Linked DNA regions of Bombyx mori. The protein of the gene in region 1 binds, or shares a complex with, the protein of each later gene. Links are inferred from orthologs where the notes say so. Each region holds a gene or a part of one and is shown on either strand. Other genes may lie near its edges.

What was found.
Region 2: protein bicaudal D (region 1) and bicaudal D-related protein homolog share a complex: the UniProt entries of both Homo sapiens proteins name them as parts of the tripartite complex. The link is inferred for Bombyx mori from reciprocal best matches to the Homo sapiens genes BICD2 and BICDL1.

Annotation. Positions count from the first base shown.
Region 1 is NC_085125.1:2,137,494-2,141,316, forward strand, and holds part of protein bicaudal D, read left to right. Parts: intron 1-1,270; coding exon 1,271-1,531; intron 1,532-2,249; coding exon 2,250-2,416; intron 2,417-3,376; coding exon 3,377-3,451; 3' UTR 3,452-3,823. UniProt on the Homo sapiens protein: Acts as an adapter protein linking the dynein motor complex to various cargos and converts dynein from a non-processive to a highly processive motor in the presence of dynactin.
Region 2 is NC_085122.1:13,073,571-13,078,016, reverse strand, and holds the start of bicaudal D-related protein homolog, read left to right. Parts: upstream 1-1,533; 5' UTR 1,534-1,882; coding exon 1,883-2,323; intron 2,324-4,446. UniProt on the Homo sapiens protein: Acts as an adapter protein linking the dynein motor complex to various cargos and converts dynein from a non-processive to a highly processive motor in the presence of dynactin.

The DNA.
Region 1 (3,823 bases):
AACAGACATGAGCAGAAGGGTTATTTTGATAATATCCTGAAAAGCACCTCACGCTTTTTTACAATAAAATAATTTTTCTTACACTATTTTTAATTCAAATTTATTAAAATTTATTTTCTATTTTTTAGTTGGATTTTCTATAAAAGCGTGCTTTGTTAGTTTTCTTAAACTATTATTTAAGATAAATTGGGTTGCATCTAAGCAATGTTCTAGTTAGTTAGTGGACAGTTTACAGCTGTAGTGATTGTGTAGTAGAATTATCGATAAAGAAAATAAGACTGACTCGTTGGTGCAATAGTTAACGGCCTTGACTGTCGCGTCGAAGGACGTGGGTTCGATTCCCGCACCGGGAAAACGTTCGTGTGAAGAGCAAATTTGTTTGCTCATTATCTGGGTGCTTATTATCTAACGTCGTCGACTAATTTAGAAGTCGTCGTGGCCTAAAGGATAAGACGTCCGGTGCATTCGTGTTGAAGCGATGTAACGGTGTTCGAATCCCGCAGGCGGGTACCAATGTGGGTGTTTTGTTCCTAGGTATTTATTATTATTTGAAGAATTTTAATAAGGTTCATTTCACCCACTCGTCATTGTTGGGTTTTGAAGATTATATCTCCACGCCCTCACTAGTAACCAAAGATAATACGTGTCTGTGTGTCGTTAACTGCGTGCGGGCCCCGGCAGTCATGTCCCGCAACCCCTTAACTTGTTCTTCACACTGCCCTTCATTCACTCATGTTCATTCTTCATTCGTTCATTCAGTCGTAGAACCTTGTAGATTTTGATCTGAAAAATGAGCACCTACTGCCCATTCTTTATCTCTGTCGTCGCAAAGTGTGCAGTGCCTCGCGTCGCAATGCACACGCCAGGTGTAGTCCACAGCAGTCCGGGCCGAGTCGCCAGCCAGTTCCCCTTATTGAACTGGTGATTTACTGGTGGTAGGACCTCTTGTGAGTCTGCGCGGGTAGGTACCACCGCCCCGCCTATTTCTGCCGTGAAGCAACAATGCGTTTCGGTTTGAAGGGTGGGGCAGCCGTTGTAACTATATTGAGACCTTAGAACTTATATCTCAAGGTGGGTGGCGCATTTACGTTGTAGATGTCTATTGGCTCCAGTAACCACTTAACACCAGGTGGGCTGTGAGCTGGTCCACCCATTTAAGCCAAAAAATAATAATAGTGTAATTCAATTTGACATTGTTTTGCAGAATTCTAATATACCAGCACTTAGTAGTCGTTTTCTCGACCTCATCGAGAGTTTAATGTGCTCGCAGTGATGGAGACCACGGAGGAGCGCGGCGCCGAGCTGGCCGAGCTCCAGGAGCAGGTCATCAAGCTGAAGTCCCTTCTGTCGACCAAGCGCGAGCAGATCGCGACGCTGCGCACCGTGCTCAAGTCCAACAAGAACACGGCCGAGGTGGCGCTCGCGAACCTCAAGTCCAAGTACGAGACGGAGAAGACGATCGTCACGGAGACCATGCTCAAGCTCAGGAACGAGCTGCGCCTGCTCAAGGAGGACGCCGCTACGTTCTCGAGTCAGTACTGGCTTTTTTTTTTTTGCCGTTGTAGGCGATCACTAAATACTTAGAGGCCCGACACGTTGGACTGACCAGATCCGCACTACCCTCGATACCACAGTTCACGATGCTCTACACTCGGCGGCAGATAGAGGGAAATGGCGTGGAATGATCCGGAATAAACTCTTGTTGCGAGGGGGTGGTCACGACCCTCAGTATTGAGGAAACCAAACTAAGAAGAAGAAGGCAGACGAGCATACGGCCCACCTGATGGTGAGTGGTTACTGTCGCCCGTGGACTTCAGCAATGCCAGGGGCAGAGCCAAGCCACTGCCTACCGTTGAAAATGTTTCAAGGTGGTGTCTCAAAGTCAACATTAGTTGGGCTATGAGCTCGTTCACTCATCTTCTTCTATCTATATATAAAAACGAATTGCTGTTCGTTAGTCTCGCTAAAACACGAGAACGGCTGGACCGATTTGGCTAATTTTGGTTTTCAATTATTTGTGGAAGTCCAGAGAAGGTAGGAAGGTAGATAAAAATGAAAATGCTCTGAATTAAATAAAAATAACAATTTTGTTTTTCCTCTGATGTGTCCTCCGTCGGACGGATTCCTTTTGTTTTAAGTTTATGTTATACAAAAGCTTAGGTCTTTTATTTATCGATTGAGGCACTACGAAGTCTGCCGGGTCGGCTAGTGTGAAATAAAATAGCTAGATGTGTGAGCGTCCGTTCCAGGCTTGCGTGCCATGTTCGCGGCGCGCTGCGAGGAGTACGTGACGCAGGTGGACGAGCTGACGCAGGCGCTCTCCGGGGCCGAGGATGAGAAGAAGACCCTCAACCAGCTGCTGCGCCTCGCCGTGCAGCAGAAGCTGGCGCTCACGCAACGGCTCGAGGAGCTGGAGGTAATGGTCCTACTAACTAAATATAATAATAATATTAATTTACTCCACAATACAAATAACTTTCCAATTGACATGTCCTTCTTCAAACGAGGCTTGTGGAGAGTATTAAGCAGTAGGCAGCGGCTTGGCTCTGCTCCTGGCTTTGCTGAAGTCCATGGGCGACGGTAACCACTTACCATCAGGTGGGGCGTACGCTTGTCTGCCTACAAAGGCAACAAAAAAAAATATATGACCTAAATTTCTAATTATATCTAAACAATATTACAATTAATTATACTGACAGTGGAGATAAAAAGGCCGCGGCCCAGCTTTGTGGTAGCTGAAACTATCGCTGCTATTCTGCCGCTGCCTGTAATTTTAATCTATAAAATAATAAACTAAACTAATAAAACTAAAATAATATAGACTAATCTATAAAAAATAATCTAATAATACCTAAATTTAAACATGTGGCATAATCTACAAAATCCCTGCCTCCGCACTTTGTTGCTCAAGTAGAAATTCCCTACAAAAATATTTGAAAGGGTTAACTAACTAAATATAATAATCCGTCGACATCGAGCCAAAGGGTCGGATGTTCAAGGGTGTTTGAGATCATGTCCATCATACGAGCAACACACGCCGCGTCGGACACAACCGTCTAACCTCAGATGTAGGTAACCTGATTTAGGACTGGTGGTAGGACATTTTGTGAGTCCGCGCGGGTAGGTACCACCGCCCTGCCTATTTCTGCCGTGAAGCAGTAATGCATTTCGGTTTGAAGCGTGGGGCAGCCTTAACTTAACCACTTAACACCAGGTGGGCTGTGAGCTCGTCTACCCATCTAAGCAATAAAAAAAACATGTGATCAGACTCGATATGTTCGCGAATGCCGCGTCACGTAAGAGGAACTAGACATATTTGTGGATTGCTGCGTCACCGGTCCGCTGTGACGTCATCTGACAGTGACGTGTGTCGCAGGTGGACCGCGAGATGCGCTCCCGGCGCGTGCCCAAGGCGGGCGGGGTGCGGGGCGGCAGGGGGAGGGACTTCTAGCGACTGCTGGCGCCGGTCAAGGCCGTCGCCGTCCTGCTGCGCCGTCTGCTGCGGACCTAGGGCTCCAGCCTCACCGGCCCGGTCCCCTATTTGTACGTTTTGTAAACTTTTTAATGTAATGTGAATCGCGCCGCACGTCCGGCCCCCGTCGCGGCGCCGGTCCGGGCCTCGTCCGGCGCCGCTGGAACGGTCAAATTGCGGCGGGCTGCCGGACGCGGGCGCGGCGGTCCCCAGCCCGGGGCCGCGCCCGGCCTACCCCTTCCCTTTCCTCGGGACATATTTTCGTATCGATTTCTTCACTCGATATCGCGCGTCGACGCGAATCGATTATTTTTGTAACAGGACCGGTGTATTTTGTTAAGCGAATATTTA
Region 2 (4,446 bases), on another chromosome or scaffold:
TGTTGAAGAGCAACCCGGTCGGCGGTGTATCGCGTTCCGACCCGGCAGGCTGGTTCTGGCCCAGCGGGGTATCCCGGAACACCAGCGGCACCGCCCGGGCGGCCTGGTAGGGCCGCCGTACCGCGGAGACTGACGTCGTTGGTCGTCGACTATCGCCTCGACGACCCGTCAGTCGGGCGTCCTCGGGGTGGCGTGACCTTAGAACTTATATCTCAAGGTGGGTGGCGCATTTACGTTGTGGATGTGTATGGGCTCCAGTGACCACTTAACACCAGGTGGGCTGTGAGCTCGTCCAACCATCTAAGCAATAAAAAAAAAGAAAAAGAAAAAATACGCTTTGAAAAACATCGATTCGTACAATAACCATAATAATAGCCTCTTTTGGTATTATGAGATCATTTCCCGACTTAGTCAGCATTAATAAAAAAGTTTTAAAATTTGTTCAATTTTAATCCTCTCTCCATATTACCTTGATATTTATTGTCCTTGTCTAGCACTAAGGTTTTTGAATCACCTGATTGTTTGTCTCCGTTGCACCTGGTGAATTAAGGCAAAGATTAGATAATAATGACAGACCAGTTTTGGTGATAAAGCTTAATATGAAAAAAATCAATTCTGAGTGTAAAGTGATGTTAAATTGGTACGTATTTTTGGAAATTTTCAGCAATTTGCTTAATTAATATGTAACACCATCTATGTCTATGAGTTGATAAAAAAGTTATGTTATTTTATGTTACATTTTTAAAATATCGGGCTACGAAATAGAATGTTTCTTTATGGATTCTTTTCTCTGATACTATACTAACAATTATTTTATTTTATTTTATTTTATTTATTAAACACACAATACACATCACAAGCTAAAAAGATACATAAAAACACAAGTAAAAAGAAACAAAATCTGGCTTACAACATAAGCCATGTGCGCACGACTACGCAAGACAAAGTGCTGAGTTTGTACATAGTGGTCCTTACATCTATACGACAAAACAACACGATAATAAAAACTAATCTAACTTTTAATGTAAGGAAATAATTTTATTCACAAGCTACAATTAAACAATTACACTACTTAACTTCAGTAGTAGTTTCTTTTGTAAACTTAAGCAATACTTATTAAGGACATCATTCATGGTCGTAGAACGGATAGGTGTAATAAAGTGAGTTCTAACCCACAAACCACAGCCCACTGAGTTTCTCGCCGGATCTTCTCAGTGGGTCGCATTTCCGATTAAGTGGTAGATTCTGCGAAGCACTGCTCTTGCTAGGGCTAGCGTTAGCAACATCGTCAGGTTTGAGAACCGTGAGCTATCCTATTAGCCCGGCGACGCTGACATGGTCTCTCTAGACCAGCGGTCGGGGAACATTATTAATTATTGCCCCAATTTTTTTTGTGTATTAACAAAAAAAAAACTTGTTAGGCTACGCAGACATAGCCTCTCAAGGCTACCTAGCCTTAGATAGGAAGAAAAAAGTAATAAAAATAAAAAAAAGATATTTTTTTTTCGTCTCTTATCGTTGCTTAATCTTTGAGCATCGCAACGCGTTCCGGCTCGGGAGGTTTCATACAGCGTTGTTGTGACCGATCCGTTGTCGAGGCAACATCGGCGCTGTGGTTCGCGCCGCGCGTTTATTGACATAACAATATTAACCGCGATACGTGCTCCGCGCTGTGCTGTGCTGTGTCAGTGTTGTGAAAATGTTACCGTAACATTAAAATGGCATTAAAAAAGGATTTCGATCTACCGAAGAACATATTCAAAATCAAAATCCCAAAAAACGTGAAAGTCCAACAGGCGTTCGAAAAAATATTCAAGAAGAGTAACTACACTAAAATCGCGCAGAGTTAATTCGGTTTGTTAACGTTTTTGTTTCATGTTAAATGGCCGGTGAGTTTAGTGCTTATAATATCAGTAGAAGTAGAAATTCCGAAATAGAACCGCCCGATCGTGACCAGTCCCCAAATTTCATAACCGATGCCACTGAGTTTATCGGTAAAGGTGATATAAGAAATTCGACCCCAATAAAGAAACACCGAAGAAGCAGAAGCAGAAGTGGCAACAGAAAGACCCCTATAGCTCTCAGCTTGTCTGATGAGAACTTCTATGAAGAACTAGAGGAATACGTCAGAGAAATGTCGGCGGTTAGAGATACAAGCGCGAATATGGACGCGAACACCGAGCAAGACGTGTGGACTCAACTACAGCAGAAGGAATCTGACCTTCTGCTTGCTGCGGAACTGGGGAAGGCTTTGCTAGAGAAAAACGAAGAGCTAAAGAAGGAACAAGAAAGGATCGCTGAGGAGTACTCCAAAAAAGTCGAGGTGAGTTATTTGTGTTCAAACTTTTTTTTAATCTATTTTTTATTGCTTAAATGGGTGGACGAGCTCATAGACAGCTACAACGTAAATGCCTTACCTTGTGATGTGAGTTCTAAGGTCTCAGTATAGTTACAATTATTAGTTATTTATTACACAAAAATATTATTCTTAATGTTGTTATACCATAAGCAGAAAAATATTTAAGAAATGCCGTGTTTATTTAGTTTTGATTAACTTAAAATAACATGCAAAGAAAAATACTTTAATATATCTAAATGTTGTTTTGGCGATGTTAACGGTACTATTATAGAAATATAACGTTATAATTTCGGTAACATGCGCTGTTTTACACCTTTATGTTTAAGCTTGCAAGTAAGAAATCGAGACTGTAACTGCTAACAATGAGTTATAGGAATCTCAGTTCTATACACTCTTGTATAAATGTCATGTTTCTCTGATTTAGTATTAGCGTTGCTACATTTAAGGATTGCGTTGTGTGAATGTTGCAATACGAAGCGAACTATCTCGATTTCGGATGAATAAAAAGTTTTAATGAAAATCAAAATATATACCATGTGTTTTTTTATTCCCGTCGACGGGCATATAATGCGCATGGTAAATGGACGCCGACGTCGCCCAAAACAAGTCATCTCGGATCCTCCCGAATCACTAACGGTGCTTTTAGGTACCTCAAGCACCGGTCATCGTTCTCGTCGAACCCGTCGCTTGCGACGAAGGGCTTGGCGAGTAAATTAACCCATAGACAGCCCACTGAGTCTCTCGCCGGATCTTCTCAGTGGGTCGCGTTTCCGATCCGGTGGTAAATTCTGCGAGGCACGGCCCTTGCTAGGGTTCGTGTTAGCAACATATTCAGGTTTGAGCTCTGTGAGCTTACCTAATAGCCCGGCGACGCTGACATATTCTCTCTAGAGTACTCTAGACCATCAGCTTAGGTAGGAATAAAAAAAAAGTAAATGGTTGCTACAGTCCTTGGACACCGGCGAGCTAAGCTTTATTATTCATTTAATAAAACTAGTTTTTAATGACGAGTTGTATAGCTGGTCACAATGAAACATATTAAGTATCGTTTTATTTAATGATTATTTCCTATAACTGATGAGTAAGAACTCAATGGCAGGTTGTAAATTAGTGATAATTATAACGATTTCTTTACGTTTTTCAAATATTAATTCATCTTACAATATACTTTTATAAATCGTGGCTAAAAAGGTAAGATGTCTGGTCTATTCGTATAAATAGACCGATGCGCCTATGAAATCCCGAAGGCAGGTACCAATTTTTCTAAACAAAATTTCTACTATGAGAAATTACACAATACTTAATTACTGACGGCAGTGAGTCCGCACGGGTAGGTATCACCATTTTACCTATTTGCGCCACTAAGCTGTCATGCGTTCCGGTTGTACAATGCAATTCACACTACGACCTCATGTCTCATGGTGTTTTTATTTAAATTGCCGTCACTCATGGACATCAGCAATGTCAGGGACAGACCGAAGCCGCTGCCTACCAACATATGCACACTGTAATCTCTATGGGCCTTATGACTATAAGAATCCTATAAGATTAGCGCGAGCCGCAGATGTAATTTAAATATACACTTTTATTGTTTAACTAGCGACCCGCCCTCGCTTCGCTTCGGAAACTGTAATTTATTATTGATTTCTCCACTATTTAATGGATGTTATTATACATATAAACCTTCTTCTTCAATCACTCTATCTATTAAAAAAACCGCATCAAAATCCGTTGCGTAGTTTTAAAGATTTAAGCATACATAGGGACAGACAGATATTCCTATAGAAAGTGACTTTGTTTTATACTATGTAGTGATTTTATTTTAACTCCTACTTTTTACAATTTCCCAATTTATTTATTTATTTATTTGGGAAACAAACAGTACAATACAAACATATAATATTTAAAAAAATATAGCTAATACAATAATCAAATATGTTCCCACAATCAAAATCACATATAAGTAGAAAGTGAACAGAGAAGAGAAGCTTAGAAATTTAAATTACAAAAAACAAAAGCAACACAATACGCACATATTATTTTATACATCAACTAACACTATAAAACTATAATCCTCATCGGACTAA